Callithrix jacchus: one gene and its partner. The protein of the gene in region 2 interacts with the protein of the main gene of each other region in a pairwise test. Links are inferred from orthologs where the notes say so. Each region holds a gene or a part of one and is shown on either strand. Other genes may lie near its edges.

Region 1 (3,651 bases), on a different chromosome or scaffold from region 2:
TGGGGAAGGCCTTTGCAAACAGGCAGGCAGCCCCCTTCTGGCCTTGTCTTGACTCACTCATCCTTTCCCCTCTTTAGGGCACTTAAGTTTCCAGGACTGTTTTGTGACTTCCGGGGTCTGGAATGTGACGGAGCTGGTGAGAGTATCACAGAGTAAGTGAGTCCTTCCTTCCAGGCCAGGGATGGGGATTGAAAGTAAGGAGGTAGGACCTCATGGGATGTCCTCCTAATGGAGTCTTAGGGGAGTGGATGGGGACAGATGGTTTCTGGGACACTATTGGCCCTGTTGGTGCTGGGCTGGGTATAGTAGAGTCTTCCAGAGAGCCCTGTCTCCAGTCTCCATTGCTTTGGAGGAAAAAAAAAAGTCACAACCAAAGTCTCTTCTCCTGTGACCCCTAGCTGAGAGAAGGTTCCTCAGCAGCCCAGATGGCCCACTTTCCCCCATCTCCTGGCCCCATAGTCAACTCACCCTGGGATTCTGGGAAACCATTCATGACAATGAAACAGACCCCATCAGGCCTCCCCCCACCTCCAAACCTCATCATCCTCTCATTCTTCCTAGCTCCTGTTGCCACAGCATCAGGGCCCAACTTCTCGCTGGCGGACCTGGAGAGTCCCAGCTACTACAACATCAACCAGGTGACCCTGGGACGGCGGTCCATCACCTCCCCTCCTTCCACCAGGTGAGCCCAGTGGCCCCACCTTCCCACCTTCTCTCTCCTCCCCCCAGGGCCAGGGCTGTCCTAGGTGGCTATAGGCAGCTATATCACTGAGGCTGGGGTGCTTCAGAATATCACCTCTCATTGAGGGCACTGGCTCTAACACTTTAGAGTTCACCAGTAGCAGTCACCCACTGAGCTCCTGCTTTGTGCTGTCATGTAGCACCTAGCCCTGGGGATACAAATTTGCACAAGGCATGGCTCTGCCTGGAAGTGGGAGTCTGAGAAAGTCTCTCCCTTGTGGAGGTGACATTTGAGCCCAGACACACAGGGGCAGGTCGGGGGTTTGTTGCAGGAGAAGAGGGCAGCCTCTGTCCCAGTCCAGCCTGCATAGGCTGGCGGGACCACCCTGCAGAGGGCTTTGGAGGCCAGAAGAAAGCATTTAGACTTCATCCTTGGGTAGCGGGGACTCCTAAGGGGTTTTAAGCGGGGATGCTGAGGGTGTGTGCTCCAGAAAGCTCTCGCCACCAGCAGTGTGTGGGCAGGACTGATTGCCAGTTAGGAAGCCATTGGAAAGGCTGGAGTGGGGGAGAGCCTAAAGGGGTAGGGGTGGCATGGAGAGGGAGAGAGATGCTTGGGAGGTGGAGATGTGGGTTCTGGCCAGGGCAAGTCATGCTGGGCAGGGTCCACCCTGTCTTTTTTTTAAAACGTGGGTGTTTTGAGATTTTCGACATTCATTTTGGTATTTTTTAAATATTGGACTATATTCTTTATATTGATAACTGAGTTTTGTGTTATTTTTGTCCCTTCAATTACCTCATTCACCTCACCCTAGCCTTGGGGGCTGCTGGGGAATCATGGGTGGGATACAGTAGGCAGCTGAGGGTTTTGCTCAGTTCTCTGATATGGGCAACCTGGAGGACTGTGGCATCACATATCGGGAAGGGGCTTGAGGAAGAGGAGCAGGCTTGGAGCTAGTGGCTTGAGGGCCTAGGGATGATCCTGGGGTTGAGCATGCAGTGAGTGCCCAGAAGTGCTTCTGTCAGCTGGCATCACTCCCCACCCAGAGGGCCATCTGTGCACAGTTGTTTGACCTGGACACTTGATCACTCTCTGGAGCCTCGGCCCATCCTTGGCCCATCTGATCCTTTCTTCTTTCCCCAGCACCACCAAGCGCCCCAAGTCCATCGATGACAGCGAGATGGAGAGCCCCGTCGATGATGTGTTCTATCCTGGGACAGGCCGTTCCCCAGCAGCTGGTAGCAGCCAGTCCAGCGGGTGGCCCAACGATGTGGATGCAGGTATGGGTGCAGGGGTCCTGACCCAGAGCAAGAGCAACCCAGAGCCTTTTTGTCCCCCTCTCAGTTTACCTGGTAAGCCTCCCACCAGTTCCTCCTATGTCGGGAGACATTACCCACCTATTTTCTTGCCTCCTGATCTTCCACGGAGGGCAGAGCAGGCTGAAGCAAGGGAGTGGAGGTGAGGAAGGGTGCTGTCAGAGTCAGCAGCAGAGCCTATGGTGTGGGAAGCAGAGGGGCTGCCAAGTCTCTGGTGCCCCATGGTGGGGTGGCCGCAGCCCCTCCTGGTATTTCTCTAGAGAGGTTGCCCCACCCTGTGGGCCTCATGGTTTAAAGCAGTTTCTCACCCTGGGCACTAATGACATTTGGGGGCTCATCATTCTGTGTAGTGGGAATTATTCTATGCACGGCAGGAGGTTTAACAGCATCCCTGGCCTCCACACATAAGATGCCAGCAGCAAAACACCCACCCACAATTTTGATGACCCAAAATATCTCCAGACATTGTCAAACGTCCCCTAGTGAGACAGCATCCTCCCAGATGAGAACCACTCAGGGCCCAGCTTTCCGGAGAGAGACTCAGAGTCTAGTGAAGAATGAGCAGAGTCCTTTTGAGACAAGACAGGGAAGCCAGCAAAAGGGAGAGAATACGGAGGATGCCAGCTTGACTCTTCCCAGTCCCTTCTAGGGATCCTCTTTCTGTTGAACCCACCCCTCTTCACCTCCATTTTTTACTAAGAATGCAGATAGACCTGGAAGAGAGTAACACGTGCGTGTGTATGCATGTGCATGAGCACATGTGTGTGAGGAGGCTGTCTTCAGGAGCCCCCCACTGATGTGCCAATGGTAGAGTCTGTGTATATCCTCACTGTGGGTGTGACAGGGCCTGGGAGTGCAGACCCATGAGTGTGAACTGTGCACTGGGCACATCTGCTCTGGATGGGCCTGGACCCTGGGCTTCATTCTCCTCCTCTAGAAGATGAGGATCTGAACTGATGGCACTGAGTCTGATGTTTTCCAGATATGCCCCTACTAAGAAGGGCCAAGTGGGCAGGCAGAGGCTGGGATGGAGCAGGGTAGCGCTGGGAGGCGCTCCTGCTTTTCTGCTGCCCCAGAATGAATGCAAACTCCGGCAGCTTCTCCTCCTCCTGGGAGGAAAGGAGGGCTTGCATCCAGGCCTTGGGCTGAGGGAGTAGGCCGGAGACCCTCTAGAGTCCGCCAATGGAGGCTGGCCTCTGTGAGAAGGCTTCCTCCCGTGATTCTCGGGTCTCTCCCAGGGTCTCCTTGTGGCGGGCAGGGACTTGGGCCAGCATGTGCTACATGCTTCCCTGGGGAGCCTTGAGAGGCAGAGAGAGGAGTTGAGAAGGCCTGGGAGACTCTTGGGTTACATCCTGGGTCCCTCACCAGGGCCTCAGTAGGTGACCGCTTCTGCAAGGACTGCCCATGTGGTGCATAGAGGGCTATGTCTTTAGCTGGCTCCTGAGGCAAGGGCTTCTGGGCTCCTCTGCCCAGACCTAGTTCCTGAGGAGCCCCCCTCTTCCTGGCTCCTGCTCTCTCTTTTCTTGGCTGTCTGCTTTTGTGCCTGCCATTTCTGCATTTCTGCTCTTTCCGGCAGTCCTGCCATGCACGGCCCCCCAACATCCTCCTGCAGCACCCCCGGCTCCCTTTTCCCCTCACCCCCCTGTGTGTTGTTTC
Region 2 (3,651 bases):
GGAGGCCAAGGTGGGTGGATCACCAGAGGTCAGGAGTTCAAGACCAGCTTGACCAGCATGGCAAAATCCCATCTCGTCTGAAATTACAAAATTAGCTGAGCATGGTGGTGCATACCAGTAATTCCAGCTACTTGGGAGGCTGAGGCAGGAGAATCTCTTGAATTCAGGAGGCGGAGGTTGCAGTGAGCTGAGATTGTGCCATTGCACTCCAGCCTGGACAAAAGTGAAACTCTGAAAAAAAAGATTTAACAGTGCAGCTGAGAAGCACTGCACTAGCCCAGTTGCAGTGCTGCTTTTGCTGTCCCTGAGTTAAGAAGTAGAACTCCAAAGCTGCTTAAAAGTAGGACAGCAAGGAATAGAGAGATATTTTCTTAAATAAATGAACTATACATAACATTTTTCTGGCAATTTTGCAGAAGGATCTAATACAAAACAATACTGACACATTTTCATGGTTTCTCTCCCATAGGCTCAGACTGTCCAGGTTGCTGAAGTTGAACCACAATCACAGCCACAGCCTTCCCCAGAACTTCTGCTTCCAAATTCTTTGAAGCCTGAAGAAGGGCTTGAAGTATGGAAAAACTGGGCCCAGACCAAGAATGCTGAACTAGAGAAAGATGCTCAGAACAGATTGGCACCCATTGGGAGTGAGTGTTTGGGAAGAAGAGTGGGCTCTGTCTAAAATACAGCAGGAAGACAAAATGGCAGAAAAGTGGTATCCCCTATCTTGGAGCCAAGAGAGCAAAATTTGAAATAGTATGTTGAATTCAAGCCTAGCAACAAGCAGTACTGACCTTGTGTACATAAGAAGCAGGATGTGTGGGGTTTGCCCAAAACCAGGTATTTTTAGACATAATGGGTTTCTGGAGTTGACCCTACCAGACCTGAGCAAAATGGCTTCTGGGAGGAAATGGGGACCAAGGAGTATGCGGTCAAGGTCCTTCTTTCTTGGCATTAGGCTCATACTCACGTTGTAGGCCTGTTCTGACATTACAGATGTAAGACATTACAGTAGATACAAGTGACCATTTCTAGCCCAGCACCCTGATGGGCAGTATCTGTTCTGAGCTTTTCAGATATGGACCCACAGGACCTCCATTCATCCTGGATTGCCAGGACCTCCATTCATCTTTGGGGCTTCTGTTGCAGGGCGCCAACTGCTGCGATTCCAGGAAGATCTCATCTCCTCTGCTGTGGCAGAGTTGAATTATGGGCTCTGTCTAATGACACGGGAAGCTCGAAATGGAGAAGGTGAACCCTATGACCCAGATGTGCTCTACTACATTTTCCTGTGTATTCAAAAGGTAGGAAACAGATCTTCTCAAGAACATGTTTGATCTGGGTTCTTGTTGTGTATTTGCTAGTTTAGTTAGTAAAATGACAAGCAAGAAGGTAAGGAACTCTTTCTCTTTCAGGTATATAGTGAGTTTTAAAATACATATTTTTTTAAGTCTTTTTTTTTTTTTTTTTTTTTTTTTTTTGAGACGGAGTCTTGCCCGGTCACTCAGACTGGAGTGCTGTGGCACCATCTGGGCTCACTGCAACCTCTGCCTCCCGAGTTCGAGTGATTCCCAGTAGTAGCTGGGGTTCTAGGCACCTCACACCCGGCTAATTTTTGTATTGTTAGTAGAGATTTTTCAATTTGTTGGCCAGGCTGGTCTCAAAACTCCTGACATTATGATCCACCCACCTTGGGTGTTGGGATTACAGGTGTGAGCCACCGCACCTGGCCTTTTTTAAGTTTTAAAAACCTACATATTCACTTTAGAAAATTAGAGCCAGTGCTAGGTGCTGGTGGCTCACGCCTGTTACCCCAGTGCTTTGGGAGGCCAAAGCAGGTGGGTCTCTTGAGGTCAGGAGGAGTTGAAGATGACCAGCCTGGCCAACATGATGAAACGCTGTCTACTAAAAATATAAAAATTTGCCCGGTGTGGTGGTGCCCACCCGTACTCCCTGCTAGCTGGGAAGCTAAGGCACAAGAATTGCTCGAACCTCGGAGGTAGAGGTTGTAGTGAGCTGAGATCATGCCATTGCACTCCAGCATGGATGACTCTTTCTCAAAAATTCGGGAAAAAAAAAAGCCGGACAAGATGTAATCCCAGCACTTTGGGAGGCTCAGGCAGAAGGTTCTCTTGAGCCCCAGGAGTTTGAGACCAGCCTAGGCATCATGGTGAAATCCTGTCTCTACAAAAAATTAGCCGGGATTGATAGTGCTCACCTGTAGTTCTAGCTACTTGGGAGGCTGAGGTGGGAGGATTGCTTGAGCCCCAGAAGTTGGGGCTGTAGTGAGTCATGAGTATGTCACTATACTCCAGCCTAAGTGACAGAGTGAGACCCTGTCTCAAAAACAAAAAAAAAAGAAAAAAAACCAGGAGTGGTGGTGCATACCTGTAGTCCCAGCTATTTGGGAGATTGAGGCAGGAGGATCCCTTGAGCCCAGGAGTTCAAGGCTGTGGTCAGGTATGATTAAGCCATTGTCCTTCAGTCTGGGCAACAGAATGAGACCTTGTCTCTTAAAAAATAAATACATAAAATCATAAAGTAGGAAAACAAACACTATTCATCATCCTACTACCTAGAGAAACTTCTGTTACATTATTGGTAATTACCTTGCAGCCATTCACTTTTATTATAAATCACAAAGCATTAATGTAACACTTTTCTTTTTGTTAAAGTAAACATGGTTTTCATGAAAGTAATTTATTCAAAACAAAGTCTTGTGCTAGTATAGAGCTTTTCTTCTCGTTGTTTTCTGCATTAGCACCAAATAGTTATTTAAAGGAGTGTGGAATAATATACCAATGTAGTTAGGTTTTCAGGACATCTGTGGTGAAGCATAACAGAGAAATTTATAGACTGGCAATTCAGGGGATCAGAGGTGGATTTTTTTTTTTTTTTTGAGACAGTTGTGCTCTTTGTTTCCCAGGCTGGAGTGCAATGGTGTGATTTCGGCTCACTGCAACCTCCACCTCCCAGGTTCAAGCGATTCTCCTGTCTCATCCTCCCATGTAGCTAGGATTACGGGTGTCTACCACCACACCCAGCTAATTTTTATATTTTTAGTAGAGACAGGGTTTCACCATGTTGGCCAGGCTGGTCTTGAACTCTTGACCTCAGGTGATATGCCTGCCTCAGCTTCCAAAAGTGCTGAGATTAGAGACATGAGCCACCGCGTCCGGCCAGATTTCTTAGTGTTCAAAGGATCTTGAGGAGAAACCTGCAGTATAATAGGACAAGGGTTACTGGTTGGGACTCATCCTGCTGCCTAGCTTTGACAAATGTGTGCCTCCTAGCTTTTTCCTCTTTCATTGATCCTATCCTAAGTACTATGTGAATTGCTTTACATGCTTTCATTGTGTGCTCTCCCCAGTCCTAGAAGACAGATACTGTCATCTCCATTTACAGGCAAGGAAACTGAGCCCCAGAAATTAAAAGACTTGCACATGTTATTTAACTTATACAATATCTAATGGAAGGCAAAGCCTATTCATGATTTTTCCACCACAAAACAATGCCTGGCTTGGGGGAAATAGCATTCACATTGTATGCCTTATTTACCCAACTTTCAAGAATGAGCTTTCAGTCACATGAGCTTAAGCATACTATGAAAGTGTTACATGCTGGTGCCTTGGTTTGTTGAGGTGTGAATGG

What was found. The genes of interacting proteins can lie anywhere in the genome.
Region 1: the proteins of QRICH1 (region 2) and NFIX interact in binary tests that used the Homo sapiens proteins (3 or more experiments, as listed by UniProt). The two-hybrid records come from large-scale screens. The link is inferred for Callithrix jacchus from reciprocal best matches to the Homo sapiens genes QRICH1 and NFIX.

Annotation. Positions count from the first base shown.
Region 1 is NC_133523.1:11,895,459-11,899,109, forward strand, and holds part of NFIX (nuclear factor 1 X-type), read left to right. Parts: intron 1-77; coding exon 78-152; intron 153-561; coding exon 562-682; intron 683-1,822; coding exon 1,823-1,959; intron 1,960-3,651.
Region 2 is NC_133516.1:31,676,489-31,680,139, reverse strand, and holds part of QRICH1 (transcriptional regulator QRICH1), read left to right. Parts: intron 1-469; coding exon 470-647; intron 648-1,149; coding exon 1,150-1,304; intron 1,305-3,651. UniProt on the Homo sapiens protein: Transcriptional regulator that acts as a mediator of the integrated stress response (ISR) through transcriptional control of protein homeostasis under conditions of ER stress.